Linked DNA regions of Kluyveromyces lactis. The protein of the gene in region 7 purifies or fractionates together with the protein of the main gene of each other region. This does not show direct contact. Links are inferred from orthologs where the notes say so. Each region holds a gene or a part of one and is shown on either strand. Other genes may lie near its edges.

Region 1 (4,255 bases), on a different chromosome or scaffold from region 7:
CTCATTTATGTCAGAAAACAGATTGAAGGATAAATCAAGGTATCGCAGAGAAGAATGAGCACTATTAAACGGAATGCTCGAACAGGTTGTCTTGAAAGCTCGGAAAATGTTGTTTTCTGATAGCGTGATACTTTCCAACTTGTCAAAATCAGAGTTCATTTCATTCAAATGCTCAAATCCATATGACTCAGTCTCTTTCGACCCAAATTTGTAGGTAATATCGATTGATGAAGTATCACCGTATTTCATCAATAATGCACCTTCAAACGATGTTCTCTCTTGCCGAGATGTATCTAGTTTAGTCTCCTTCACAAATGAGCCACTGCTCTGTCCATCGGATGTTCTGAAGTATCGTACTCCGTTTAACGTTCCATCATGTTTACCTCTTTGCTTGTTGTCCCACTCTAAACCATATGCAACGATATTAGGCCATTCTGGCAATGATCCGATGTATCGTACTGTGCAAAACTCACCTCCTATATTCAATCTATCATTGACATTGATCTGCATATTTGGCCCTAGATTTAGTCACGCTGTACACATAGTGTAGCCTGGAGTTCGTATGGTAGACTCACGGATTATTTCTCTTCTTCACTCTTTTAAACATTTTGATTTTAGTAGGCATTTAAAGTATTATTTAAAGGTTTGTTACCTAAAGAAAAGAGATGACAAAAACGTCTTGCCGAAGAAGATATTAAATCATTTATATGTAGTAGTGTACAAATGTGTATTGTCTATTAGGTGCGTGGACTGAAACGGGTGTTCAAATTCACATCCTAATACATAAGCTTTTAAATCTATAGCTTTAACGATGCGAAATAAAATAAGCAATAGGATCCTTGATCGTATTTCATAGAGATGCAGAATAATTCGTTTTCTGTGTTCTCAATTACCTAAGTTGTCTTGTTCAGCTTCAATGGCGTTATCCAATGACGCGAAAAGACCATCCAAATCGAATTCCTTGGACCATTCTTGAACAATGGTCGTTTGTTCCACCTTAGCTGGTGCTGCGACAGCACCAGTACCTAGAGTTGGTTGGTTAGCTTCACCAGATGTAGCAGCATGTTCTGCAGCAGATTCCTTAGAAGCATTGGGTAGAACCCATCCTAGGATCTTACCATCTCTCCAATCGTTAAGAACGGATATACCAGCGCTGGCCAAGTTTGGAACACCGCCCTTACCTAATCTACCTCTCTTACGGGCGATATGGATCAAGAATTGTTTGGTGAAAGAGTCTGCATCGGCAGCTGGGATAGGTGGTAATTCGTACAACTTCTTGAAACTTTCAGTCATTTCTTCAGATTTAGAAAGTCTCTTCACTAATTTGAGCACAGCTGGGTAAGGATCTATGATGAATTTTGGAGGTAGAGCGTTCAACAAGGCCAACTCTGCTTCTTGTTCCACTCTACTCATCTTTTTATTTTCACTTGGGAAACAAATACCTGGAGAATCCAAGATCTTTAGCTTGTTATCTACCTTGACTTCTCTCATAGATGTAGTGACACCAGCTTGGTTACCCACTGGACATGCTTTAGAAGAACCACCACGGCGAGAGGTCAATGCGTTAATGACAGACGACTTACCGACGTTTGGATAACCGATGACACCAACAACGATGGATCTCTTCAAGTTTGAATTATTGGAGTAAGTCTTCAAAGCTTCTAACAAGCTTGAAGCAGTTGTAGCCTGAGTCAAAGTCCTGTTGAAAGATGTGGAGTTAGTGGCACCAGGAGCAGCTCTCAATGGAATAGTAGGGAACGAGGATTTCAAAAAGGTTAACCATTGTTGCAACACGTATGGTGGCACTAAATCGATCTTGTTCAAGATCAAAATTAGTCTCTTACCCTGGGATTGAAGCACGGCCTGTTCCACTCTTCTCGATCTAGTTCCTTCTGGATCTCTTGCATCTAGCACGTAAAGGATAACATCGGACGCATCCACCACAGTCTTGAATATCTTATCGTAAGCCTTTCTAGACTTTTCTAATTCAGAATCATCATCATCTGCGTCAGCGTAAAAGTCTACGTCGTATTCAGCAACCTCTAAATCCTCTTGCTCTCCATTCATTGTATCATCGATACCTTCCCCATTGTACTCCTTTGCAGCTTGCTGAGCGGATTCTAACAAAGCAGAAAGACCATTGTTGCCGTCGTTTTCATCTTCATCCATAGATTCATCGTCATCACCAACATCTTCACCTAGTTCACGAGTTCTTCTCTTAGCCTCTAACCTTTCCTGCTTTCTACGTTCTTTCTCCTCCAAATCAGTTCTTCTCTTCGCTTCAATCTCTTCGATGATCCTGTTCTTGTACGGGAAATTGGCCGGAATACCTGGATCCTTACTCTTATTGGATTTCCATGTCACATCCTTCTTAGCAAGTTTCCGCTCTTTCCTATGTTGAGCAGCAGCCTTCTTCTTGATACCCTCCTTCATACGAGTGGAAGTTCTCTTGGAAGTTCTCTTTCTTACTCTCACCATCTCTTTTGATTAATGGAAAAAGGTATATTTACTGCACTGGATTATAGATATCTTAGCTGTTCCGGTGAACTTATCACGGAAAACAGTACTGAAACATCTACTTGAACAGGTGTTCTGTAAATATCAAGTCTCATCTCATCTCATCTCATCTCATCGCAGGTTTTAACATATTTCGAAGAGCTGAAAAATTTCAAAGTAGAAAAGAATTTCTTTTTGCTGGCGGACGACAGTGGAAACACAGTGGATACTCGTCAATTACGAGGCAATCTTATGCTACTCGCAAGCCATAATTTGTGTCAATAATATTTGGGACGTATTTGGTATATCTATGAGCACTTCCAGGCAGATATTTAACATTATATATACAGTAATACCGTCAAGGGCAGTGAAACTGTCAGTACATATAAAGGCAGCCCAGTAGCCGTTGCGCAGTTTTTTTTGACACTAGCAGGGAACAAAAATCATCTCAGTAATAAGAACTGATATAACGTGATATACGATACGAAGTTGCGAGGGTGGAACTTGTTTTACCACATCTCTCATCCTCTCTACTTCCAGTCAGTGTAGTAATAACTGCGAAGTTATTACTTGTTACCCGGATCTCGTGAAAATTTTCATCAACCGTAAACAAGAGACATGCCACGGTTGTTTCTGTGGCGTTTATCACGTGATATATATTTCCGTCGAGTTTCCAGCATTTTTGCTTAGAAATTGAGAAACTAAAATGATAAGGAGCTATCCAGTTGCAACTTACACAGTCTTGTCCGTCTACTAGTTGGTTAATCGGTATTTCTTCTGTTCTTTTATAACAAAAGCAGCGCCTAAGTTTAGTTATCTTAGCGGCTCATCATTCGACTTCTTACCGTTCAGTTTCCAGCTATTTTTTTAGGCTGTTCTGAGTCATATACCGAGGCAAGAGAAAAGAGAAACTATGTCATTGCCAGCAGCAGCTTCAGCAAATGTAGCTGTCTCATCTAGAAGGAGGGGGCCAAATTTGAACATTGTTATATCGTGTCCCGAATGTAAAGTTTATCCTCCGAAAGTTGTGGAACGGTTTAGTGAAGGTGATATCGTCTGTGCATTATGTGGGTTAGTCTTATCGGATAGAATTGTGGATACCAGGTCAGAATGGCGTACTTTTAGCAATGACGATCAGAATGGAGACGATCCAAGTCGTGTTGGTGAAGCTTCAAATCCTTTGTTGGATGGAAACCATTTAACCACACGTATCGGGCAGGCCCAGGGAAGTGATGCTAGAGTTACTAGGGATTTGAATAGGGCTCAGTCGAAATCTATCGTTGACAAGAAGGATAACGAGTTGCAAGCTGCATATGCGAAGATTACTATGATGTGTGATGCTGCAGAACTGCCCAAGATTGTTAAAGATTGTGCTAAAGAAGCTTATAAATTATGCTTCGAAGAGAGAGTCTTGAAGGGGAAATCACAGGAAAGTATCATGGCTTCAGTTATTCTTGTCGGATGTCGGAGAGCAGAGGTCGGGAGATCTTTCAAGGAAATCTTATCCTTGACTAACGTGCGGAAGAAGGAAATCGGGAAGACGTTTACCATCATCAAGAACATTCTAAGAGAAAAGAATGATAGAGGGTTTGCCAATATTGATACTTCAAATATCACCACAGGACAGACAAGTGCAGAGACTTTCATCCCTAGATTTTGTTCTCATTTGGGCCTTTCAGTGCAGGTGGCTAATGCTGCAGAGTACATCGCGAAACACTCTAAGGATGTCAATGTCTTGGCTGGTAGATCTCCTATCACC
Region 2 (2,858 bases), on a different chromosome or scaffold from region 7:
TCGCAGGCCAGAATGCTGACAAAAAGATCGCTTACTTTACTCACTGGGTTACTGGTTCTTCTCGATTGTTTCTTAGCAGTCTCCCACGTCTTGATTGCATTGTCAAGGTTGGCCAAGCATAATTTTTCACCGTCAACGGCTTTACCTTGGAAAAGGTTCAAGTTAACGTTATCATCCACTTTCCTGCCGTGATCCCATTCATCAGCAAATATTCTTATTCCACCTTGCACCTGTTGCGATAGTAATCTTTCGAATTGGTCTTCCACCTGATACGTAATCGTTTCCTCGTTCAAATTGTGTAAATCATGAACCAAATGAATTCTGATCACTTCATCCGTTTCACCAATGACAATCTTAGTCAATTGTGAAGTAAGCCCAGAAATGACATGAGACCCCTGCAATGCCGTTAATCTGGCCCCTATGTCGTTTATTTTCAAGTTGCCCTCTTGAGTAGCTATCTTCTCTTTCAATTGATTGGCTTGTTCTGTGGTCTTGTTCCAGAAACTGGATACTGTAGCAGAACCGCTAGATGACCACCAATTGGAAATTGACGCCAGTGGGTCCTGAACTGCCTCTTCACCTTCTTCTGCCACATGTTCTTCTTTTCCTTTCTGTTCACTCGGTTTCTCTTTACTGGCTGTCTCTTCTACAGGTTTCTCGTTCGATTCTGGCTTCTCCTCCGGTTTCTCTTTCTCTTGCTTCTTAGAGGATTGTGGCTTGTCCTTTTTGGACGGTTTCTTCTTAATATCCAGGTTACTATTTTCCAATTCGTCTAAGAATTCCATAATATCCTCATCCTGGCCGCCGTTCCCACTAACCTTACCCTTTCCCTTAGTGTTATTAGCAGTACTGGCTGGTAAAGAGTCTAAAAACTCTAGCACATCATCGGCATCACTAGTCATTTGGTGTTTTCTTTTTAAGTCTTTACTGTCGATAAAACTTGAATATTGATACGAATTGTTCAATCAAGAATCGATATATTCAAACTAGAAAATTATCGCTGAAAGGCAAGACAAAACTCCAACGGTTGAACTTAAACTAGCCTCCTAATCCTTGTGAACACAAGTATATAGTTTCTATCCTTTCTCTATTGTCATGGTTCCAACTACCGTGTGTTTTTTTCATGTATTGGTCCATTCTAAGGGTGGGTCGTATTTAAATATCCGGGTAACTATGTCACTTTCATTACCATGAAATAACGCTGGTATACATAAAGTGAGCAGTTAGCCGAAATGTAATGAGCACCGTGGCCTTTATCACCACCTATTCTTACCCCTTCCATAGATGGTGCTCTCCAGTACCAATGTCGGCATGTCTTGGCTTAAATCTTAGCATTTTTCATTAACTAATACCGTATCTATTTTGTACTGCCGTTTCTTTTCTAAAATTTTTCATCTCATCTCATCGCGAATCTGTTGAAAAGTTAATGCATCTCCATACCATGTACTTGATCCCCCGTTACTATTCACCTGTGCTAGCTATCTTGTTACTTGTTACTCTTAGTACTGGCTAGTATTCCTGGAACTACAAGTTAACGGTTAATCACAGTACTAAAATTCGAGATGCCATCTAAGAACTCCATTAACAGGCCAAAGCAAAAGGTTAACTTGAACCGTAAGGTTCATCAACGTGCTGCCAAGAGAGATGCTATGGAAAAGAAGGGTTTATTGGCACCAGCAAGATCTTCAGGAACATCTAAATCTGGTCAGTTGAAGAGTATACCATTGGATCTTTACAAAGGCGAGCATTCGACCTCTGGTGCTCTTACGACCAAGACTCTTTCGAAGAAAAGAGCAAAGAAGATCGAACGTAACTTGAAATACGTGGAACAAAGAAAACTATTAGTTGATCTACAATCTCAAAGTGAGGAAAACGGTGGTATGCAGATTGATGCGCCTGTTGTGAAGAAGGAGAAGGAAACCAAGAAAGGACAATTGGAAAAGATGAGAGAGGCTATTTCCACGGTGTTGGAAGATATTCAATCTCAAGGTTTATCCCTTCAGACAGGTTCTGGTACAACTCTAGGTGGTCAGTATTTCTTGTAGAGAGTCTTAAAAATCGTTAAATGGGGTTTGCATTGTCTATATAAACATTTTGTATACTAGGATAGATCTTAAACGGATCGTTCATTAAATATTATTCTGACATAAAAAAGAGTGCGTATATGTACTTAGGTACTTACTACTTTTCGTATAAACCTTTGGTCACTAATGCATCATTGACCTTGGTTTTCATAAATCCAATGACATCTGCTGGGTCGTGCGCGCGGAACACAGAGGTACCGGCAACAATGACATTGGCACCTGCCTCGGCAGCAAGTTCGACATTCTGTTTACCAAGACCACCATCGACTTGAATGTTCAAATTAGGAAATCTAGTTCTCAAGTCCTTCACTTTGCTCATCATATCGGCCATGAATTTTTGGCCACCGAAACCCGGTTCGACAGTCATTACAAGAGCCATATCCAGGGATGGTGCCAACTCGTACAACACATCCACAGGGGTACCTGGCTTCACAGAACAGGCAGCCTTCATACCATGCTTCTTAATTAGCTTAACCAACGCTACCGGGTCCTTTGTAGCCTCGTAATGGAATGTGAACTGATCGCAACCGATCCTAGCAAAATCTTCGACCCATCTTTCAGGTTCACTAACCATCATATGACAATCGAAGAATGCTCTTGGTAACTTGGTGTCTGGATCGTTGTACTTTCCGATAACTTTACGTAGCGATTCGACAACCGGTTGTCCCAATGACATATTAGGAACGAAGTGACCATCCATAATATCGATGTGTAACCAATCGGCACCAGAGTTAATCACATTGTGACATTCACAACCTAATTTAGTGAAATCAC
Region 3 (3,238 bases), on a different chromosome or scaffold from region 7:
CTTCCCATATGCGGCAAACTTTTCTCTTCTATTTGATGGTGTAGTCTTGGTGGAAATTCCTAACTCGTTCAAATATTCACGGTTTTCTTCGGGGGTAGCCTCTGGAGGTGGCTTGATCTTGAAGAACTTCTTAATACCCATGGTTTCACTACGGTAACAGCAACCTTTTAACCTTATTTGATCGATGTTCCCCTTTTACCTTGTCTTTACCTATCTAAAAATTGATGTTAAAGGAACTACAACTTTTCGATTCTTTTGTTTCATTTAAATTTAAAGGTTTCTTTTGGGTCCAGTAGTACTTAGTGAACCACGATGCACAAAATACAAAAGAAAGAAGGAAATAAACAGTATGGGGTTGATGCAAATGCCAAAGAGCAATCAAAATAAAAATTGTACTATACAGATCCAGAGATATACACCAATATTACATTAAAAAATGGGGCGATAATGGGGGCCAAAACGATATAAATGACAGAAGAGAGCGATTGTATCAATTCCTTTTATGAGTAAGTTTCGATCAAAGTATCACGCAAGTTACCAGAGATAGCTTCTGGTTGAGCGTCTTGTAGACGGAAGATAGATTCGATCACACTTAATTCTGGAGCGGTGGTATCTAGACCAGTAACTGCCAAATAGTCGTTCACGACCATACCAGCACCGACGACTTGCGAACCACGGTTCACAGTACCAGCAACTAGTGGGACTTGCAACAAAGAGGAAAGTTCTTCTTGGTCTTGTACTGTAGTCTGAGGATGCACTAGACCACCTTGGTTAGACAACGCACAATATGAACCAACAAGAACGTTACCCGAAATTGTTTGACGGAAAACTTCAACACCTAAGACATCGGCAATCAACTCCTCAGTTTCTCTGTCGATGTCTGGATGAACCAAAGCAACATAATCATTACAACAGATAACATTACCTAACGCAGATAATCTCTCCTCAACTCTTTGAACCTTCACAGCATCTGGCAAACAGTTTCTCAAATGTTGTAATTCTTGGTCGGTAGTTTGAGTTGGAACCAATAACCCTCTACGGTTACCAGCAGTCATACGACCAACAATCCTCGTACCTGCAATAGTGGTATGAGCAATAGGAATAGCATCTCCTAATTCGGCTTCAAACGCAGAATAAAAGTTCTCCGAACCACCAAGTGCCACCAAACAGTACGAGTTAGTTAGCTTCGAAAACACACCAATTTCGTTAGAATTCTCAAATTGTGTCCTAGTCGCCATAATTTCAGTTGATTTATCTGCAGTGGTATACTGGCGTAACAAGCAGAACTAGTGTTTATAAGTCAGAAGAACTGTACTAATTCAAGCCGAATCAACCATCCGCAAGATGAGATGAGATGAGCTTAGAAATTATCCAGTGAAATCTTTAAAATTTTCCATATTGCAGTGTTTTAAAGAAACGAAACACAAATTAGGTTACCCGGAGAAGAACACACATACAGTACTATATGGGTATCTCGTACCCTTATAGATGTATAAATTTGATCAGTGAGAGTTATCCAACAACCGTTCGAAGCTTAGACGAGAAATAGCTCTCCATTTCACATTCTTTCTTCTGATCACCAGACGATTCAACGCAGGGTATACCGTACACCTGAGCGTGTTTTATTTGTTACCCGCACTTGCGTCGAATATCTTCACTAAGTCGTCAATTTCCGACATTTAAACAGCTTCAAGCTGAAAAAGCGACACATTCACAACAAATATATTGACACAAAAGCATGTTGCATGTATCTAACCTGCAGTAAGTTACATTTACGAAAACATTTTAAAGCTGTTCGATCAGTGGCAAGCAATTCATAAGAATCAAGTTTCACTGAATCATTTTTCTCTTTCCAAGATGACTGATTGTAATAGTACAACGGAGCGCAGTTTGACGTCTGGATTGGAAGCAATGTCATTGAAGGCAATATCCCCATCGAAGTTGAATAGAAGGCATAAAGTCTCGAGCAAACCTGATAAATTGAATGAAAATGTCTGTTTGGATCGCAGAGCAGAAGTTTTGGTTAATACGGAAAATGAAATGCCAACAGAAATTGTCAGTAAGATAAAGAACGAAAACTTCCATTTGCAATTGGAATTGGAACAGAAGAACCATGAGATTTCCAAATTAAAGTCAATGCTCTTACCTAAACTGACACCACCTGCAATTGATCTAAGATTAACGACAAGTTTAAAAGACCCTTTGTACTACCATCCGGAAAGCAACAAAATTCCCGGTATGTCTGGGGCTACAGTGACAAATTCAGATTACGTGTCCCATTTCTCATCATCATCATACGATGGGAATAGAAATGACGTTAGAGAGACCTCAACCGTTGCTAGTACTACAATATCAAGAAAGGAAAAAAACCATATGTTGTTCACTAGGAATATTTTACCCTTTATTCGGGATTCCATCAACATGTATAAAAACTCCCATGTTTTAAATGAAGAAGTGGTCCCGATAGAAAAAGAGCTCGATAAGTTTTATGATAACTCCTTGAAGAAGGACGAAAAATGTGAAGTATTTTCTAATGTACTCTTAGGGTTACTCAGGGTACAGAGATTAAATATAGCGGCGTTGAACAGAGAATTAGAGTTGAAAACAGTGGAGAGAAAAATGGATTACTTGGCAACATTGTTTTTGGATCCACAAGAGTATGAAATACCACGTCATAGCTCCATGAAACGAATCAGAGATCAGATGTTGGATGTGATTATTTCTCTATATGGAGAATTACCAAATCCTAACCAAAGGGCAGCAAGAGAAATGAAATATCAGCAGCCACAACAGGTTCCTTTGAAGATAAAATCAGATTCAAAACTGAACCGACAGTCTCATAATCCTGAAATACTACCTATTGGTTATTCAAACTCATCTTCAAAACCAGCAAGGTCGGCAAAGAAACGCATGAGAAATATCAAATTGACACCATTCAAGACAGCTTCACAGGAAGACATGGATGCCGATGATGATCTGGACGTAGACCTCTCAGATCCCTTACAACTACTTTTGGCTGAACGTATAACTGGAACTGATTTGGAAAACACAACGTCACTGACTAATTCGTTGTGACGCTAGCTTTTCCGCTATAATAAGCAACATCAATACCCTTATACAAAACAACTCATCTAGTTCCAAACCTTTATTATATAAATCTCTAAAAATCCTAAGCCTGGGATGTTAACCCGTATCATTAAAATACTGTATAAACTTATCTCTTAGTCGCATCATCTGT
Region 4 (4,856 bases), on a different chromosome or scaffold from region 7:
AGTACCTGGAGAAGGAGGAATTTGAGACATGACAGAATGTGGATTTTTTATTCTACCTAGGATGAATTTCTCTATAATCCCCCTTAATAATTCCTCTGATGGTAGATTCAACAGTGTTAAAAATGCCATACAAAATCCTTCGTACAAAGATCGTCTTAGGCCATAAATATGTACAATGTCCGTGACATAAAGTAATGTTCTGGTCAATGTACGGATGCTGAAATGGGGTCTTTGATTGGAACCATCGACAATCTTATTAGCTTCTGCAAGCCTTTTTGCTTCTAAATAAAGTTCAGCGATGTCGTTACCAACCCATTCGTCGCTTACGCTATACTTTGAAATGTACTTGTCAATGATAGACAATAGATCAGAGATGTCACGGTCAGGAGAATGAACATAAACTTCGGTAAATCTTGATCGAATACCTGGTGGTAAATCTCTCTTACCGACATCTGTAGCAGGGTTCATACAAGCGAAAATTCTGAAATCTGGATGGGCTTTTATCGATTCTGCCTCACCTTTTTCAGATAGAAGTATACTTCTAGAGTCACTTTCTGAAAGCAAATCAGCTATGTTTTCAAGCGTGTCTGCCGAGGCCAAGTTGACTTCATCCAATAACAACCATTCTCCATTTCTGACAGCCTTCACCAAAGAACCTTCCACAAAATTAAACACAAACGAGTTTTCCAAAGTAGAGGATTGTAATTCAAATGATTCAACTGTTTGTCTGAATTCCTTCCATTTTTCCAATAAAGCTTGTTTACTCTCAGGGTCGAGTTTACGCTTTTTTTTCTTGTCAGCTTCCTCTTTCTCATTTGAGTCCTTTTTTAGAATGCTATCAGCCATTTTAATAGCTTCTTTCCAAAGTTTAGCGACGTTCTTCCATTGCCCCTTGGAGAAGCACTTATGGAGGAGTTTATAGAACTTCTCGTTCTTCTTCAAAGAGAATGTAGCAAGGAAAAGCCCCTCAAAATCTTCTAGAATTGGAATTGCGACAGTCCTACAATTCACAGGCTTGTAACCACCTAATAGATCACCGCTCTCAGTCTGCTGGGAAACGTTAATAACCGTCAAATTCTTATTCATTAGCTTTGCTAACTCTTGAACTACAGTAGTTTTACCAGTACCGGTCTCACCGACTAATAATGTTGGTTCACACATTTTGACGGCAACACCAATTTGTTCCATTAAACGAAGAGAATGATTGGTAAACGCAAACGATGTAGTGTTGGCACTTTTTTTATGAATAGTTGACTTGGGTCTTCTTAGGTGAGCTCTTCCAATTTTCACATCATCACCAGCTTTTTCGATTGCCGGTACATGCTTGTTCAAGAACAACGTGATTCTGGAAACTGAAACTTCAAGCTCTTCTCCAATTTTCTGTACTAAGGGCTGTACGGCTCCATATTCACTAATCGAACCAACAAAACAATCGACAGCTTCAGCAAAAATATCATCATAGATAGACGACTCGATAAGTTGATCCGGTTTAACAACTTGATTAGCTTCAAAAAGTTCGGTGATTCTCTGACTTAGTTTAACTAAATCTCGAACACTAATGATTCTTGGTTGAACACCTTTGTTCAATGAAACAAATTGTGGATTTCTGTAAATATCTTTCACAGATTTGTAGGTGCTGATAAGTTTCGGTATTAAGGCAGTTAACAAAGAAAACCTTTTTTGTAGAATAAGCTTCAAATCGTCTTCAGACGGCTCATCTACAAGGATTTTCTCCCATAATCTCATACCAATCAGGTCAGACTCATGCGTAATGCCACCATGGGAGGTGTGCTCGTCTAGTCTTATTGTTGCTAATAACTGGAAACCGTTGGCAGCTTTGATGACTTCACCTCTAGATGGAATGGATATTTCTCTTTTTTCAAGAAGGGTAAGAAGAACAGACAAGACTTCGGTTGGCGCTTTGTTGATATCCTCGATAAGTACCCATCGTCCCTCTTTAACTGCTGTTGTGAGAACACCGGATCTCCATTCAAAAGAACCGGGTTTTTCACCTGATGTATATGTACCCAAAAGTAGTTTAGCATCAGTTTGTTCACCTAAATGAATTTTGACAACAGAACTATCGCAGTTCATTTTTTTTGAAAGCTCATTGATCAAAAATGTTTTACCTGATCCAGCCTTACCCACAAGCATTACAGGCTTGTTGCGCTGAATACCTTCGGCCAATTTTTGTAAGGCCAACTTGGCACCATCCGTATATACTAGATCTGACTTTAGATGTTCTTCATTAGAAGGTGCTTCGGAGATTCTGGCAATAAATACACCACATACTTCAACAATCAACGACGAAAGTTCATTGATATCGATGTTGAACGATTTTCCAGTTGGTCTGAAGTTCTTTGGATAAGAAACAAGTTCATTGATTTCATTTGGTAGACTATGGTAATTTGAGAGCCTTTTAGCTTCAGTAAGTTCCAAAAATTGATAATCTACATCGGAAGCACCTTCAAATACACTTAAGATAGGTTCAGTTGACAGTTTAAGTTGATTTTGGACCACAAGTTCACAGGCGTGCTCTGCCATTTCAATAAGCATATTAAGAACTTTTAATGACAAAAATTTGATGATTGTAGATTGGTGTGCCAAAAGTGAATTAAGAGTTTGAGCATTGATATATCTCTCAAATCTGATCTTGTCATACTGAATCAATCGATAATAAGCCAAAAGGATCAACTCGATGTCCTTTGGATCATGAGCTTGGTAAGTTTGTAACAATGCGTTAAAGTAGTCACCATTTCTGAGCAAGAACACTTCGATCAATTGCGAAGCTTCCGGATATAAACTTGCAATTCTGCCCAATGCGTGTAATACCGTGACAAACTTCTTGGAGTCGTGTTGCAAAATCCATCTAGAGCAACAGTCCAAGAATATATTCTTGTAAATGTATAAATGAGGAATCGTTAAATCTTCTTTTAACGAGGAAAATGCTAAATTCGACAAGTTCTCATCGGTTGAAAGCTTGGCATCAAATCTATAATAGTCAGACAAGTGCTGCTGAGTAAAAGCCTTCTGGTATATAGTGAAGTTTTCCTCGGCCGCAGTAACATCTAAATAAATTAATGCAGAGGACATGGCTATAGTAATTCAATCCTTCGCCCCTCTTATAAGCAATTCTTCTTTCTTTCCTAGTCAATAAACAGAGGCAGAATAGAAAATATCCGTTTCGATGTTTTGATACTCTGTGAAAGAAGTGATATGCCTTACTTTGCTAAGTCTATAGCGGATCTGCAGTTAAATGTATCCTACACTCAATTTGGCAGTTTGTTTAAAGTCATCTCATCTCATCTCATCTCATCGCTTTTGTTTAAAAAATTCTCAGAGCACAGAAAAACACCAAAAAGAAATAAATATTTCAGTGAAAGAAAGATATACCTGCAATCCATCTCATCGGCAAAAGAAAAATGGATGGGTAAGAGAAAAGAATGCTTTGAGAGAGCCATTAACAGCAAGCCTAAAGTTTACAATCCATCTGAACTCCATTGTCTTCCGATACATTCCTCTGTATGCAATAATTATGGTCGGTAATCCAGTTTTACGTCCGGTTGACATGAAAATGCAACCTGCTCCGTATCAAGACAGAGTTAGAGTTGTCCAAAAGATATACACACAGTTAAAGAGGTTTCAATCGAGCAGCCCTCACATTATAAAGGCATCGACTATTTGGGAACATGAGGTTGCTAAAATAGCAAAAACAAGACAAAGTTACGCGTTCAATGCTTCCATTCTATTACGAGATATTGTTAAATATAAGGGTAATCTTGATAAAACTGGCAAACCTAAGAATAATAGTTCGTCATTAATACAAAGGTCCCACGTATTGCAAAAACTACGATCTTTGCTACTCGACGAGGAAACACTCAGTAGGAACGGATTTTTTGTCAAGATGTATGACACTGATCCGATCAATGAATCAGAATCAGATTATGTGGAATGCTATAGATGTGAAACTAAATTTGATGTGACAAAAATTATGGAACCGACAGTATGTCGGTACCACCTTCAAAGGAAAGTATATAACAGAGAAACTAAAAAAAGAGAATTTCCTTGTTGTGGAGCTTCCCTTGAATCATATTCAGACATATCTGCAGGGTGTATGAAAGCGAAAAATCACGTTTACAAATGGGAGAATTTCACAAAACTGTCGAGTGTGGTCCCTTTTAAATCTCTCGTTGATATCAAAGGCGAAGAGAACGTTTTGGCATTAGACTGTGAGATGGCTTTCACATCGAAAGGGTATGAAATGATTAGAATTACAATAGTTGACTTCTGGTCCTCAGAAGTAGTGTATGACAAGGTAATAAAGCCACTGGGCGAAATTATAGATTTAAATTCTAAATTTAGTGGGATTCATCATATAGATGATACTGCACCTACAATTCATGAAGCAGAAAAATGTTACATCTGTCCTAGCATGATCAATCAAAATAGCATACTTATAGGACATGGTTTGGATAACGATTTACGAGTAATGCGCATAGTACATGACAAAGTAATAGACACTGCCGTTTTGTATCCAGCAGGTAAGTATAAATCCTCTTTGAAGAACTTGTCTTTTGAAATCTTAAGTCGTAGAATTCAAGGAGGAGAACATGACAGTTCAGAAGATGCTATTGCGGCAATGGATGTCATTAAAAAAAAATTGAGTATCCCCTTGGATAAGAAGTCATGGTAATCTATCTTCTAGTCTAGCCATTCTTTGCTCTAGTTCTTCTATTCGAGCGATTAACGCCTCGTTTAATTTCCTCATTTCGTTTAGTTCAATAGATATAATCCGATCTTCAGGTAGCTTGAACATCACTGATTTGGACCTCGTCCGTCTTTCATTTTTTTCTACT
Region 5 (4,367 bases), on a different chromosome or scaffold from region 7:
TAGATATAAGATAATGGTAAAAAGGGTCTTCGTCATCTTGAAAGAGCGAAAGGTCCCTGTAATAATTTTTGCGTAGTTGATCACTTAATGTGTCTAAATCTGTCGTCATATTCCGTCAGTTAATGTCCTTTAACGAGGCGCTATCCCTTTTTATTTGTGATTGGAATTGTACTAAGTATTATTTTAAAGGCTATATTACATTTTGTTTTATGTCACTAAAATATTATCCCAAACCTCAATCAAAGAAATAACAGAGCTGTCTGAATGAAAGTCATTCACTCTGAAGCATGACCCTTGCCAACCCTTACAAAAGCGCATGTAAGAAAGAGTGGACCGAGTGCTACTTAATGTATCTACCGATGGTAAGTATAACATAAGGCTGAACTTGGTTAACTATTGCTAAATCTTATTGATATACAAATTCATACGACTCTCATAATATTTCAGAGGAAACTACTGAACCAATTAAATGGGTAATATTTCCGCCCACCTACTATCAAACTACAAACTGTAGGAATTCAGTTGTTGTTAGCGAAAAGGGCGTTAAATGGGAGTATCCCAGCTCTGGGCATCTTGAGCTTACTTCTACATGCGTGGAATAAGTCTGCGCCATGATAACCACAACGCGAACCATAATTGAACATGCCGAAATGTGTTTAAGAGCCCTTGTTTGCTGAGCTAGGAACCAAAAAGATAACCACAAATGACAAGAATACTTATCAACTGGACCATGTACTGAGGTCAAGTATAAAGTAAACCAACTTTAACCAAGTTTTGTATCCTTTTCTTTTGGTTCATCAAATTTTTCAGTAAACACCGGGTAATGCAGTGACAAGTTGCATGCTAACCATAGGTCTTATAACCGGAAGCAGGGCAGCTAAGGAAGATATAAAGGATATGCAGTTACATTTCCATAATGAATGGGGATAATAGACTGTGCAAACAGTGGATTTATATATATATAAGAGTTTAGGATGAATTTAGATAGTACTTACATTAATCGGAAAACATGGAAGCCTTTTTCTTACTCTTCTTGTTCTTCTTGTTATGCTTCTTACCATTTTCGTTGGCGACGGTTTGCTTATGGAAAGGGTTCGTAAGTCTGCCTTGAACACCGTTCAAATGGAAGAAATTTTTGTCAAGTTCATCAGCTACGTTGTACAAGGCTGCTTGTTTACCACCATGGTTGACAGATTTAGCTTGTACTTTATCACCATCACCACCAATATGAGCAGAGAACGTTAATCGACTTAAATCGCGAGCAAGATCCAAATCTTGTATACCTTTGTGTTTGGCAGCTTCTGCAAGTTGCTCTTGTCTGTTGATAGGTAATTTACTGAACGTGTATAAATCTTTGTTGAATTCCTTACATTCTTCTCTGGTATATGGCGTATCATCGTCCATGTGAGGCGGTGGATTAATGTACAGGAGTTTACCGTTCACATAATCTTTGAGAATGTAACGAGAGGCACGAGATTCATCTGCGGCACCAAAACCTTGTGTCATATAACCACGAGCTCTGGCATAAGCAACGAGTAATTCTTGTGCAGTTGGTACTTCACCATTCCCACCCTCTTCTACGGATTTGGTCTGAATATGGATACCGTAAATGGCTTCCAAAAAGTATTTAGGGACCCTTTCTGCCACTAATGTCGATGGCCCAATATAGTCACGTAACTGATCGATCGGTAGAACACCGTTACACACCAATTCACCTTTATTGTATGCAAAATTAGGGAAAACTAGACCTGGACAGTCGCATAACGTTACCTTATCAGATAACTTGATAGTTTGGAAATGTTTGGTCTTACCAGGGGTAGAAGAGACAGAAACTTTCTTGGCACCCACCAAGGCATTTATAGTGGAAGACTTACCAACGTTTGGATAACCCACTAGACCTATTTGTATGATTGGCTCTTGACCGGGCAATGGAGGAAGTAGCGGATCGTTTGGCGCTTTATCTAAGAACAATTCTTCAAGTTGATCGATCTTCAGTATGTTAATTTTATCCAGAATTTCTTTGTTCACTTCTTCCCCATCAAGTTCTTCAATTTCTTCCTCTGTAGCCAGTATTTCCTCATCGTCCTCTTCTTCAACGTATTCATCCCCTAGTTCCTCTTGTCTCTCTAATATTTCATTAGCCTTGGCAGCAGAAAAGAATGTAAAAGAGATGCCCCTCGAGAGAAGGTACTTGGCCCAAATAATACGTTGCTTTCTTGTTAATAAATCCGCTTTGTTGATCAAAAGTAAATTCTGTTTCCTGTCATCCACTTCTTTCACATATTTCTCTAAATCTGTGGATCTGAATAATAATGGATCTCTGGCATCCACGATTTGGACTACTAGATCACATCGCTCAACAACTCTCCACAACTGCCTCCAAACTTCAATGTTTCTCTCGAATGGAGTCAATAACAAATCCTCGTTGTCTTCTTGCAAATAGGCTAATTTACGTCTCCATTCCAAGAATGCTTCCTTTTCTAACCTTTCTAATTCAAATCTGGTCATAGATTCATTCCACTTAGGCCTTCTTGGGACAATCAACTCTCTAGCATGTAATCTCTGCTTCTCGTTGATCTTACTTTTCTGCTCATTGGTCAAACTAAATCCCTGGGATGTGGCTGCATCGGCACCGTTATCCATTCTGATGATCTTGACATTAGAATGTCTGTCCGCTGTGAAATCCTTGTCTGCTAACTCAGCAGTACTCAAAAATTCATCTAATGCAGATTCCTGAGTAACAGATCTCAATTTTACCCAATTAGCTTCGTGCTTATCGGTAGTGAAACGTTCTTCACCATCTGGCAAATACTGCACTTCATTTTCCTTACGTCTTGCAGTTTGAATTGCCTTACCTAACCCAATAGTGTTTTTATTCTTCCTTTGAATAGGCTTTGGACCCTTTGGAGGTTTCCACTTCTTTGTTGTTTCCTTTGGTGGCATGCTGCTAGTCCGTGTTGCTTGTAGACCTGCCGTTAACTGCTAAGATTGTTGTGCTGATGCTTTGCTTATGATGAGATGAGCTGGTTAACATATTAAAATTTTCCGCTAGTACGTAAAGTGTAAAAAAGAAATTGTGTGGTAAACCTGAACTAGAACAGATGGATGGCTCAACAATCTTTACAAAAGCACCCGCATGATGAGGATGCAGAGTACGACTCCAACATAGGTATTGCATACCACCTTAGAGGAGCGACAAAATTAGAAGTCAAGAGTTTCTGCAGAATGGAAGAAACTGCAGCTGATAAAAGGGTTACCACGCGTCTTCCTCCATGTTGCTTGTGTATTTTAAGAGAGAAATTTATCATTGTGGGTACCTATCTCTTGCATAAGGACTCAGGCAATCGAACTGGCTCTATTGAGGTTTATGATAAAGAATTGAACCTTCTTTCTAGCATAAAAACCTATGGGGCAATTTTAGATTTGAAGCTCAATCCATTCGATGATACTTTACTCGCAACAGCTCATTCAACCGGTAATATGATTCTGTGGACGATATCTGTCGACGATGATAATTCATCAATTGATATCAAACTATTGAACAACCTTCAAGTATTTGATCCCACATGTCTAATAACGTCTCTCCAGTTTTCTCCATTGCTGGATAATCTCGTACTTTTAACCACTACTAATGGGGATTTTGCTACTGTTGATATCATACATGGTGAAATATGCTTTATAGAGGAGGTGGAGCCATCGTATTTCGACTCCTCAACAATAAATTATATTGAGGTGCCAAATGCAGACATCAAAGTTATAAATGTTCAGAATGACCATGAACAAATCTTTCATTTCAAACATTCTTTGGAGTGCTGGACCGGCGAGTTCGGCTGTTTGGCTCCTTTGAAAGATGTTGTATTCACTGGTGGTGACGACTCTGCAATTGCAGCTCATGATTTGAATTCAGGCAAAAAGATCTGGTCCAATTCAAAAATTCATCAAGCTGGTGTTACGGCAATTAAGGCTGCTAGGGAGACATTTAGAGGCAACAAGCCAACAAGTTTAATCACAGGCTCTTATGATGACCATATACGATCCTTTGATCTAAGAATGCTCTCAGAAACCACAATATATCCAGGGACAGACGTCCCTGTGGTTAATAAATGGGAAGACAATTTACAGGGTGGTGTTTGGAGATTCTCGGAGGCCCCAACGAATGACGGACTGTCAAATAACAGACTTATGGTTTGTTGCATGTATAATGGTGCGAAGGTTGTCAACGTCCAAAACGATCATTTCGTGACCGAGCAGTTTATAAAAGAAGGGCATGAATCAATGTGTTACGGTGGTGATTGGAGTAAAGAAACAGTTGCAACTTGTTCTTTTTATGACAAGTCCCTACAACTTTGGAAAAGTCCAAATTAATA
Region 6 (4,358 bases), on a different chromosome or scaffold from region 7:
AAGGTGATTTCTAGTGTCAGAAACCAAAGATGTCACTACTGATATTAGTATGAGTACATATATCTATATTTATATATGTTTGTATGTTTATATGTGATATTAGTATGTGATTCTCACCGAAAGAATGAACATACACCTTCTGTGATAGTTAAATTGCTAATGTACAGTCTGGGATGGAAGTCCGTTACATTGAAGTTATTTTTGCTTCTTTGCAACTGATCTATGCTTTCTCTTTTCTTTCTTCAGGAAGCTATAGCATTCCTTTTCACCAAATCCATATAGCGGTTTGAAACTTTCTATAACACCGCAATCTTCGAACAAGTTTGGGAAGAGCCAGAACCCACCCTTCTCGCTAACTGCAGCTAATGACAACAAGTAAACTATCAATCTCACAATTGCAATACCAAAGAATACACCGATAAGTGCCAATGCTGCAATGGATAAGTAGTAAGTACCACGTTTCATATATGGAGGCCATAATGGGTAACACACGAATGCTAGCACACCGACTATGATACCGATCACAGTCAAGTAATCATAAATTGATTTTGGATTATAAGACCAGACGTAATATTCATCTGGTTGTAGAGTCGCTTTATTCGATAATAATAAGTTTGGATATGATTTGTTTGGCTTTAGACCATGTTCTTTACATTCTGCAGAATGTAATTTAACCGCTGGTACGACAAATTGGGCCTTGATTAAGGAAACAAAAATGTTACGAGCATCTTCATCGCTTGTCACAGCGGGGTACAATTCGGGTTGTTTTTTGGACTTTGCCTTATATTTATCACTTTTCAAAGCTCTAACAAATCTTTTATAACGGAAGAAGTCAACTAAACGCGATTGGAACAATCCTTGTCTTTGCTTCAAGTCGCTATGAGTCCTGAGTAGATTGGCAATGGCTATCGTAGATTGTGGGCTTGGTTCCGACATAGTAACGAAACAAATCTATATTTGAAGAGAAAAATTCAAAAAAAAAAGGCGGATAAGGCAATTCTACCGGAAATTAGGCAATTATCAGGTAGTGATTAGAAAGTTATAATGAATCTAGAGATTGGACTCAAGCTGTATTCTTTCAGATCAAAATCTCATTGATATTTCTGTATATATTGAAAGTTGAAACGTAAACCGTAAATAAAATGTTCACATACATTTTAACAGTAAAATATATTGTTACCCCGACAGTCTCAAAAGAAAGTGCTTTAGTCACGTGACATAACCAATGTGTATGCCTTTAACGGTCAATTCTGAGATCCATACGAAAAAGAAATCCTGAAAGCACAATTTTTTTTTTCTTTTCAAAGGTTTGCAGTAGTGGGAAAATTTTCCAAACGGCAAGCTCATCTCATCTCATCTCATCTCATTGTGCATTCGAAGTGATAGACAGAGCTTGATTATCAGTGTGACATCCGTTTGACAGGTAGTTTGAATAGATTGGAAGTTTGTTCAAACAACTAAGCATAGCTTAACTGCATTATTGCTAGTTTAATTGTTTTTTGTTGTCCCCGTGTGTGCGTGTATCCCAAAGTTTACGTCAAATCAATTAAGCAACAATGCAATTATCCTGGAAAGATATTCCGACCGTGGCTCCTGCCAATGACTTGTTGGACATTGTGTTGAACAGAACTCAAAGAAAGACACCTACTGTTATTAGACCAGGTTTCAATATCACTCGTATCAGAGCGTTTTACATGAGAAAGGTGAAGTTCACCGGTGAAGGGTTCGTGGAAAAATTTGATGATATTTTGAAAGGTTTCCCTAATATTAACGACGTGCATCCTTTCCATAGGGATTTGATGGATACTTTGTATGAAAAGAATCATTTCAAAGTTTCTTTGGCTGCTGTGAGTCGTGCTAAGACATTGGTCGAACAAGTTGAAAGAGATTACACAAGATTGTTAAAATTCGGTCAATCTCTTTTCCAATGTAAACAATTGAAGAGAGCCGCTCTTGGTAGAATGGCTACCATTGTGAAGAAGTTGAAGGATCCTTTAGTGTATTTGGAACAAGTTAGACAACATTTGGGTAGAATGCCATCCATCGACCCAAACACCAGAACTTTGTTGATTTGCGGTTATCCAAATGTGGGTAAATCCTCTTTCTTGAGATGTATCACTAAGGCTGATGTCGAAGTGCAACCTTATGCTTTCACCACCAAGTCGCTATATGTGGGTCATTTTGATTATAAATACTTGAGATTCCAAGCGATTGATACTCCAGGTATCTTGGATAGACCTACGGATGAAATGAACAACGTCGAAATGCAATCCATTTATGCTATTGCTCATTTGCGTTCTACTGTTATGTACTTCATGGATCTATCAGAACAGTGTGGTTTCTCTATTGAAGCTCAAGTCAAATTATTCCATTCGATCAAACCATTGTTTGCCAATAAATCCGTCATGGTCGTCATTAACAAGACTGATATCATTAAACCTGAAGATTTAGACGAAGAACGTAAGAAACTTTTGGATACTGTTTTGGAAGTTCCAGGTGTTGAAATCATGACCACTTCTTGTCATGAAGAAGATAACGTTATGGCTGTTAGAAACAAGGCTTGTGAAAAGTTGTTGGCTTCCAGAATTGAAAACAAGCTAAAATCTCAAGCTAGAATCACTAACGTCTTAAACAAGATCCACGTCGCTCAACCTCAAAAGCGTGATGATGGTATTGACAGAACTCCATATATTCCAGAAGCCATCGCTAAGATGAAGAAATATGATCCAGAAGATCCAAACAGAAGAAAATTGGCTAAAGAAATTGAAATCGAAAACGGTGGGGCCGGTGTATACAACGTTAATTTGAAGGACAAGTATCTATTGGAAGACGATGAATGGAAGAACGATGTCATGCCAGAAATCTTAGATGGTAAGAACGTTTATGACTTCTTGGATCCAGAAATCGCAATCAAATTACAAGCTTTAGAGGAAGAAGAAGAAAGATTAGAATCTGAAGGCTTCTATGAATCCGACGAAGAAGAAACTTACGAAGGATTTGATGCTGACGAAATCTCTGAGATCAGAGAAAAGGCAGAATGGATTAGAGATAGACAAAAGAAGATGATCAATGCTTCAAGAAACAGAAAGGCATTGAAGAACCGTGGTACCATGCCTCGTTCTAAATTGGCAAAGACATATGGTGACATGGAGAAGCACATGTCTTCTTTAGGTCACGATATGACTGCTTTGCAAGATAAGCAAAGAGTCGCTGCTGAAAAGAACAGATATGAGCAAACTGGTGCTGACGTGGTATACGGTGATCAAGAAGATTCTGCTCCAGCTGGTAAGCTAAGACAGACAGATAGATTGACAGACGGTGTTGCTGATGGTTCAATGAGATCGAAGGCTGAAAGAATGGCCAAATTAGAAAGAAGAGAAAGAAACAGAATGGCCAGAGCCGGTGAATCTGACAGACATGCTACTGCCTCTCTACCAAAACATTTGTTCTCAGGTAAGCGTGGTGTTGGTAAGACTGATTTCCGTTAAACTGTCTGTTCTTCCTTCCTTTCCATCACTGGTGATTTCGAACATATATTATCGTGTTGCCAATTTCTTTTCTATCTCTATTGAACTATATATATTAGTCACTACTTTCATTTATTTGTCTGCATTGGGTGGGTTAAATTTAATTATTACTCCTTTATTTGTAAAATAGTTACGTACTCTGTAAAATTATAAGAGTTATACCTTTGATTTGCTTTTCCTTGACCAAATAACCAACATCCCTCTGACCTCAGTAACAATTTTATCTTTGAAAGTTATTGACTAATCTTGAAGAATAAAAAGGATGAAAATTGTAGGATCTAAATAAAATAGAAAAAAAGGAAACACTGACATAAATATTTCACCAAAACAATCTCAGTATACCTGGAATATTTAACCGTCGACCAACATCATTTTGCTTGAGTTATATTTGATTGCCTCTATTATTTCTCTATCGGTTTATCAGGCGACAGTTTTTTTTTTCTCTCTCCTATGTGCCCTTAGTACAGGGCAAGAAAAAAAAGGACGGCTTCACAACACACATCTAGGTAGGCCTCTTTCACAAAAAATTGACTCTCAGTAACATATAAGCCATGAGATTTTAGCACTTGAAAGTACGGGTGACATAAAAGCTCCAATAAAACTCTACAAAACGATATATGCTCTTTGTATATGTCAATTGTAAAAGGTGCTTTCCGTCTGAAAAGTGTTCGTATGATTTTCGAAGAAAAATTCCCGGTGTCAGTTTTAAGATGTCACAAAATGAGCAAATAAGAGAGCATTGAGCTATAAAGACTCATATTGAAGGTAAAACAAGATATTCAGTTTTGCTCTAACAACGCTTTGGAGCATATCCAAGACCATTGGCTCAAA
Region 7 (4,780 bases):
AAGAGGCTATCAATGGTAGATTAAAATAAACACAGGAATACATAGGTGCGACCGTTTCAATAGTTCGTCTTAACTGCGTTTGCGATTACTTCACTGACGACTCATCATTCAATTGTGAGTTAAAGTCGGCTCTTGTTGTACTGTATAGGTTTTATTGTAAAGACATCACCCCAGGTGAATGCTGCTGCACTACATTGAATAATACTGAGACGAGCTAGTCTAGGCAGTAGTAAATCGTTCCCTCGAGAGTAACGCGTTGGAACATATGCCTTCCCGGCCCCATTTAGTGCGGGCCAGCATCACGGGCCACAGCCCGTGATGCGAAGAAGGCTTAATGCCGACGCATGAATATAGCTGATAGTGTCGAGATTTCCATTCAAGCTGAAGTTCCTCAAACATCCTGTAGTGGTCTCTTTTTCTTTTCGAGTTTTTTTTTTCCCTGTTAGATCATGTCCTTCTCGGTCCAAAACCGTTGGCACACCGTTAAGCCGTGTTAATAGTCCTTTTTGACCTGGGATATGAGCAGCAGACAAGTGGTCTCGGATGGTGATATCACATTGGCTGAAAGGACAACTTCAAAACTGGGCTAAATGGAGAAAATGAGTTGGTCACGTGACACTGACGTGTCTTTTTTTTCTATCTTTTATATGCTGTGTCTACAAGTGCCTATAATTAATATAACTACTTTTGCCATGCCATCTAGTTTAATTACCTTTCTTCTTTTGCTTCGTGATATGAGCACGCAAGACCTTTTGTTTGTCACGAAGCGACATTTTTTGCTTACCCTTCACAGATCTCTTATGGATCATCATCACAAAGTTCTTCTTTCTAGATTTCTCTTTATTTGTAGTTGATCTCATTGAACTGTCACGCTTACCACGCTTACTTCCGTATTTTTCACGGTCTTCACGACCTTCCATAATAGATGCCATTCTTTCCTCTTTGTTCTGTTTCTTGTGCTTGGCTGGACCCATAAGCTTGTAATGCTCAATAGTTTCTTCGTTGTTGATCCCCATAAGTTTAGTAACACCCTTTTCAGTACGTAGTTCTTGAAGTTTAGCGAAATCGGCTGGTGTTAAGATACGACTGGATGCTAATTCACGGAAAGCTTCTTCTGGGTCAGCGGATTCACTTTCTTCCTTCTGCTCTTCTCCCACCTTTGGTTCTTCTTCATCACCGGATAATTCTAAATCACTATCTTCACCAGCTTCCGGTTCGACTTCATCGTGGGAACGTTTCTTACCCTTATGACCTGTTTTGTTCTTGCTTTCCTCATCGTCAGAGTCCATGTCAACTTCGTACTCTTTATCGCTTTCTATCGTCACCCACTCACCTTCTACATCCGAAGCATCTGATAATTCATCCCGGTTGTTCAAATCCCATGCAGCCTCATCATCATCATCCTCCTCGTTTCCGTTCTCACGCTTCCACTTCGCTAGTAACTCAATACCATCTATACCTTGTACATTAGTAGTCTCGACACCAAACTTGACACGTTTGGATTCCCTGCCATTGCGTTTGTCGTCCTGTAGTCCCATAGAAGCGGTCTTACCACGATCTTTCTTCTTTAACATCTCCGGAGCAACTTCTCTGTATAATGCAATCAAACCCTTAGCAGCAATGGCGACACTCTTGGCCTTGGAGCCCTTATATTCGGTTAAATCTTGTAGTAAAGTCTCATCGATAGCTAATGGGGCACGAGTCAAGATTTCTCTGACTGTATTCAAACCCACAGTGGCAACCTCATTTGAAACACCGTCGCTAACAAACTCGTTGGCTATCTTCCTCACCATCACTTCAATGGTCTCTGGAGGAACAAGATCATGACAGGATTGGGCTGCAGCAGATAGAATCTTGGTAACGTCCCTTTGCTTTGGCGTCAGGTATTTTAAGAAGTATGAATATAGTCCAAGAACCATTAACTTGTGTGTACCTGTTAAACGGGATAATAATTGCATGATGGCAGTCTTTTGTTCGAAATCAAATTTGTTCGAATTCTTACCACTTAGATGTCTTTCAAACAATTTCTCGGCAAACCCTTGTGGATCACGTAATAGATGGATGGCACTGAAATTTAAGAAATTATTCTGTTGAACACCTTTAGCAGATTTCTTCTTTACGACCTTAAGTGCTTGCTCTAGCTTCTTACCTCTTTTACTAGATTTCTTGTTGATCTGGAGCTTGTGCTTCAAAGCGGTAGTATCGATTTCATCCTCATCGTCGTTTTCTTCAAACGCTTCTTCACGCTCTTTATCAGCATCCAAAAAGAACAAGACACCACTGTATGCAATTTTAACATCGTTATGTAGTGCAGCATGGGTCATAATTTCAACCGATCTTGAATCGTCCCAGATACCTCTTCTCCATAACTCTCTTGTCAATTTCGATGCCCATATACCTTGAGAATCTGGCTGTTCCAACAAATTGAAACACAACGCATGGGTAGATTTGTTTAATTTTTGGTTCTTACCACTGGTGTTACAAGATTTCATCAACTGTACTAGAGTGTTGTAGATTAAAGTTCTTAGCTCTTTGGCGTGAGAATTCTGGACCATCGAATTACTAGGGGAAGAGTATGCAATAAGCAATGGGAACATAGTTTGAATCAAAGTCTCAGGGCTGATAACGTTCTTATTTCTCAACATAGTTAGACTGGTGATAATCTTTTCTTTCACGTCAAACGGAAGCGATTTGTGGTGATCTAATACTAACTGTTTCAATTCGTTTGGGAAGTTTGCCGTTTCACGAGGATAACAGGAACAAACTTGAGATACAAATCCAATTGCTCCCATAAACTCAGCCATTGCACTTTCATCAGTGCTCTCGTTGTTGACCGAATTTAACATGAAAATGTCTCTTAATGATTGGTAGTGAGCATATTGCTGTAGAAACTCTTCACGATAGGATTCAGGATCACGCTTAACAAGGTTCTGCAAGAGAATAATGTTTGTCGGTAGAATAGCAGCACGAGATCTCCTAACCATATTTGTTTCTTATTTGATTATGTGATTCCTTTTCACTGTTCGGAAATACTTAGTTGATTTGCACAAGTTCGAATAGTGTTAGGCAACTTTAGTTGTCTCGGAGTGATATACTTTGTTCATACATAGGTTCTATCTCATCGCATCTCATCTCAAAATTTTCTTCCTTCTAAAAAATTTCTTTTCACTCACGGTACGGAAAGAAGAAACCAGAGGCAAAAAGTGGGTTTAAGGCTCTTTAATATCTGAATAGGCAAAATGGTATACTGATGGTAGCTTATTATTGTGTTCCATAAATGAATAATAGTCCACACCAAACGAATATTTGTTTGCAATGTTTATAAATTATGTACGCCGTTTAAATATAGTTCCAAAAATATAATCGAAATGAAATTGATACACCAATTTAGTGTAAAATATTAAAATAAAAAAGAGCAAAAACAGACATCTGTATCAAGTAACGATATGTAAATAGCAGTTGGTATTCATATAATTTTCTTGAGTTTGATCTGATGGATATCGTACAAGAGAAGAGAAACAGTGACGACGTAGAAACTATTTTTGTCCAAAGAGACCGTTAATAGCATCGTAATTGATCTTCTTTGAGAAAGTCGTCTTTTGTAATAGATTCTTGACACCTCCAGCTGCGACAACATCTACAGCATCAGCGTCATCCACGGAAACATCAAGCGGTAGTCCGTCGACTTGAACTTTGACGATGCTTGCACTGGATTGGTTTCTATTAGTACGTTTGCTGCGTTTTTTTCGTAGCGAAGTATTCCCACTGGCCAAATCTGCTTCCTGTTTGAGTCTTTTTGATTCTTGTTCAATCAAGTAATCACCGTTGATATCAATCCAAATACGTTCTTTCAATTTGGAAGCTTCTTCATCTAACAAGTGAGAATCCAATTCTGCATCATCAACATCATCCAAATTTTCAGGATGATCGCTGACTTTTGAAAGCAGAGAAGCTGTGGTGGGTAATAAATGTAAATTTCTTGGTCTATATGGATCCTTTTCAAGACTATATCCATCAATTTCATCCAGGGAACGTTTCTTGTCTTTCTCAGTTTTGTGTAAGTCTTCTCCATCGATTCCATGCGTAGCTTTTATACGACTGAATTCAGCTTTTCTGCGTTCAGAAAGCTTCTTCAAATAATAAAGGACTTCTTTAGACGATAGTTCCTGCGCTCCGAGCACTTGAGTCAAAATTGGATTTCTTGACACGGCTTCCTCGCTTGTCTCCAACATCTCTTTAGTATCCAAAGAATCTTTTATTTTCTTTTCCTTTAGTCTGTTCTTATCGAAACTAGGAGGTTTCGATTCGGCACTTCTCTCACCCTCATTTACCTCAGTTTCATCATCACGGAACTCTTTCACGGAGAGCTTAGCTGATGTTGTATTCTTAAACTCATTCAATCTTTGCTGAAGCGTTTCCTCTGCAACATGAGATATTGCCACGATTTCAGAATGCGTTCTTCTCAAATTGTTCATTCTACAGGCAAGTAAGAGACATGCACCTGCGATACCAGCTGGTCTTCTCCCTTCATACATCCAATCTCTGGACATAGTTTGTGCCAGTTTCACAGCGTCCCTTATCACTTTAATCTTTTTATCACCAAGCTCCAATTTCTCCGCGAAATGTTGAATGAACAAAGATGGGTCAGCTAGAGGTAACTTAACTATTTGTAACTTCTTCGCTAGCTTCAAAAATGTGGCACCAATAGAATAAACACTCACTTGTAACCTTGATGAAAAGTCAATAAGCATGTGATGAGTACGTTCTTTACGACATGCGA

The links.
Region 1: the proteins of SDA1 (region 7) and NUG1 purify together in Saccharomyces cerevisiae (affinity purification with mass spectrometry; 9 studies listed by BioGRID, with this or other methods). This does not show direct contact. The link is inferred for Kluyveromyces lactis from reciprocal best matches to the Saccharomyces cerevisiae genes SDA1 and NUG1.
Region 2: the proteins of SDA1 (region 7) and ALB1 purify together in Saccharomyces cerevisiae (affinity purification with mass spectrometry; 4 studies listed by BioGRID, with this or other methods). This does not show direct contact. The link is inferred for Kluyveromyces lactis from reciprocal best matches to the Saccharomyces cerevisiae genes SDA1 and ALB1.
Region 3: the proteins of SDA1 (region 7) and TIF6 purify together in Saccharomyces cerevisiae (affinity purification with mass spectrometry; 3 studies listed by BioGRID). This does not show direct contact. The link is inferred for Kluyveromyces lactis from reciprocal best matches to the Saccharomyces cerevisiae genes SDA1 and TIF6.
Region 4: the proteins of SDA1 (region 7) and REA1 purify together in Saccharomyces cerevisiae (affinity purification with mass spectrometry; 4 studies listed by BioGRID, with this or other methods). This does not show direct contact. The link is inferred for Kluyveromyces lactis from reciprocal best matches to the Saccharomyces cerevisiae genes SDA1 and REA1.
Region 5: the proteins of SDA1 (region 7) and LSG1 purify together in Saccharomyces cerevisiae (affinity purification with mass spectrometry, with the first as the bait; 3 studies listed by BioGRID). This does not show direct contact. The link is inferred for Kluyveromyces lactis from reciprocal best matches to the Saccharomyces cerevisiae genes SDA1 and LSG1.
Region 6: the proteins of SDA1 (region 7) and NOG1 purify together in Saccharomyces cerevisiae (affinity purification with mass spectrometry; 6 studies listed by BioGRID, with this or other methods). This does not show direct contact. The link is inferred for Kluyveromyces lactis from reciprocal best matches to the Saccharomyces cerevisiae genes SDA1 and NOG1.

The regions. Positions count from the first base shown.
Region 1 is NC_006040.1:1,173,192-1,177,446, forward strand, and holds NUG1 (RNA-binding GTPase NUG1), read right to left. Parts: upstream 2,479-4,255; coding exon 886-2,478; downstream 1-885. Other genes in the region: PAC2 (Pac2p), read right to left, coding at 1-510; SUA7 (transcription factor TFIIB), read left to right, coding at 3,410-4,255. UniProt on the Saccharomyces cerevisiae protein: GTPase required for 60S ribosomal subunit export to the cytoplasm.
Region 2 is NC_006041.1:1,345,117-1,347,974, reverse strand, and holds ALB1 (Alb1p), read left to right. Parts: upstream 1-1,562; coding exon 1,563-2,045; downstream 2,046-2,858. Other genes in the region: DUF5427 domain-containing protein MTC1, read right to left, coding at 1-902; ribulose-phosphate 3-epimerase RPE1, read right to left, coding at 2,182-2,858. UniProt on the Saccharomyces cerevisiae protein: With ARX1, involved in proper assembly of pre-ribosomal particles during the biogenesis of the 60S ribosomal subunit. Accompanies the pre-60S particles to the cytoplasm.
Region 3 is NC_006040.1:175,407-178,644, forward strand, and holds TIF6 (translation initiation factor 6), read right to left. Parts: upstream 1,239-3,238; coding exon 501-1,238; downstream 1-500. Other genes in the region: SEC9 (Sec9p), read right to left, coding at 1-141; KLLA0_D02068g (uncharacterized protein), read left to right, coding at 1,858-3,075. UniProt on the Saccharomyces cerevisiae protein: Binds to the 60S ribosomal subunit and prevents its association with the 40S ribosomal subunit to form the 80S initiation complex in the cytoplasm. Is also involved in ribosome biogenesis.
Region 4 is NC_006042.1:1,851,337-1,856,192, forward strand, and holds the start of REA1 (AAA family ATPase midasin), read right to left. Parts: upstream 3,094-4,856; coding exon 1-3,093. Other genes in the region: REX3 (RNA exonuclease), read left to right, coding at 3,257-4,693; FIN1 (Fin1p), read right to left, coding at 4,685-4,856. UniProt on the Saccharomyces cerevisiae protein: Nuclear chaperone required for maturation and nuclear export of pre-60S ribosome subunits.
Region 5 is NC_006042.1:640,935-645,301, forward strand, and holds LSG1 (ribosome biogenesis GTPase LSG1), read right to left. Parts: upstream 2,944-4,367; coding exon 997-2,943; downstream 1-996. Other genes in the region: SNAP receptor USE1, read right to left, coding at 1-109; RRT2 (diphthamide synthase), read left to right, coding at 3,106-4,365. UniProt on the Saccharomyces cerevisiae protein: GTPase required for the nuclear export of the 60S ribosomal subunit. Acts by mediating the release of NMD3 from the 60S ribosomal subunit after export into the cytoplasm.
Region 6 is NC_006041.1:2,149,889-2,154,246, reverse strand, and holds NOG1 (putative GTPase NOG1), read left to right. Parts: upstream 1-1,556; coding exon 1,557-3,488; downstream 3,489-4,358. Other genes in the region: Sec63 complex subunit SEC62, read right to left, coding at 196-936. UniProt on the Saccharomyces cerevisiae protein: Involved in the biogenesis of the 60S ribosomal subunit.
Region 7 is NC_006037.1:498,301-503,080, reverse strand, and holds SDA1 (Sda1p), read right to left. Parts: upstream 2,985-4,780; coding exon 705-2,984; downstream 1-704. Other genes in the region: transcription factor TFIIIB subunit BRF1, read right to left, coding at 3,537-4,780.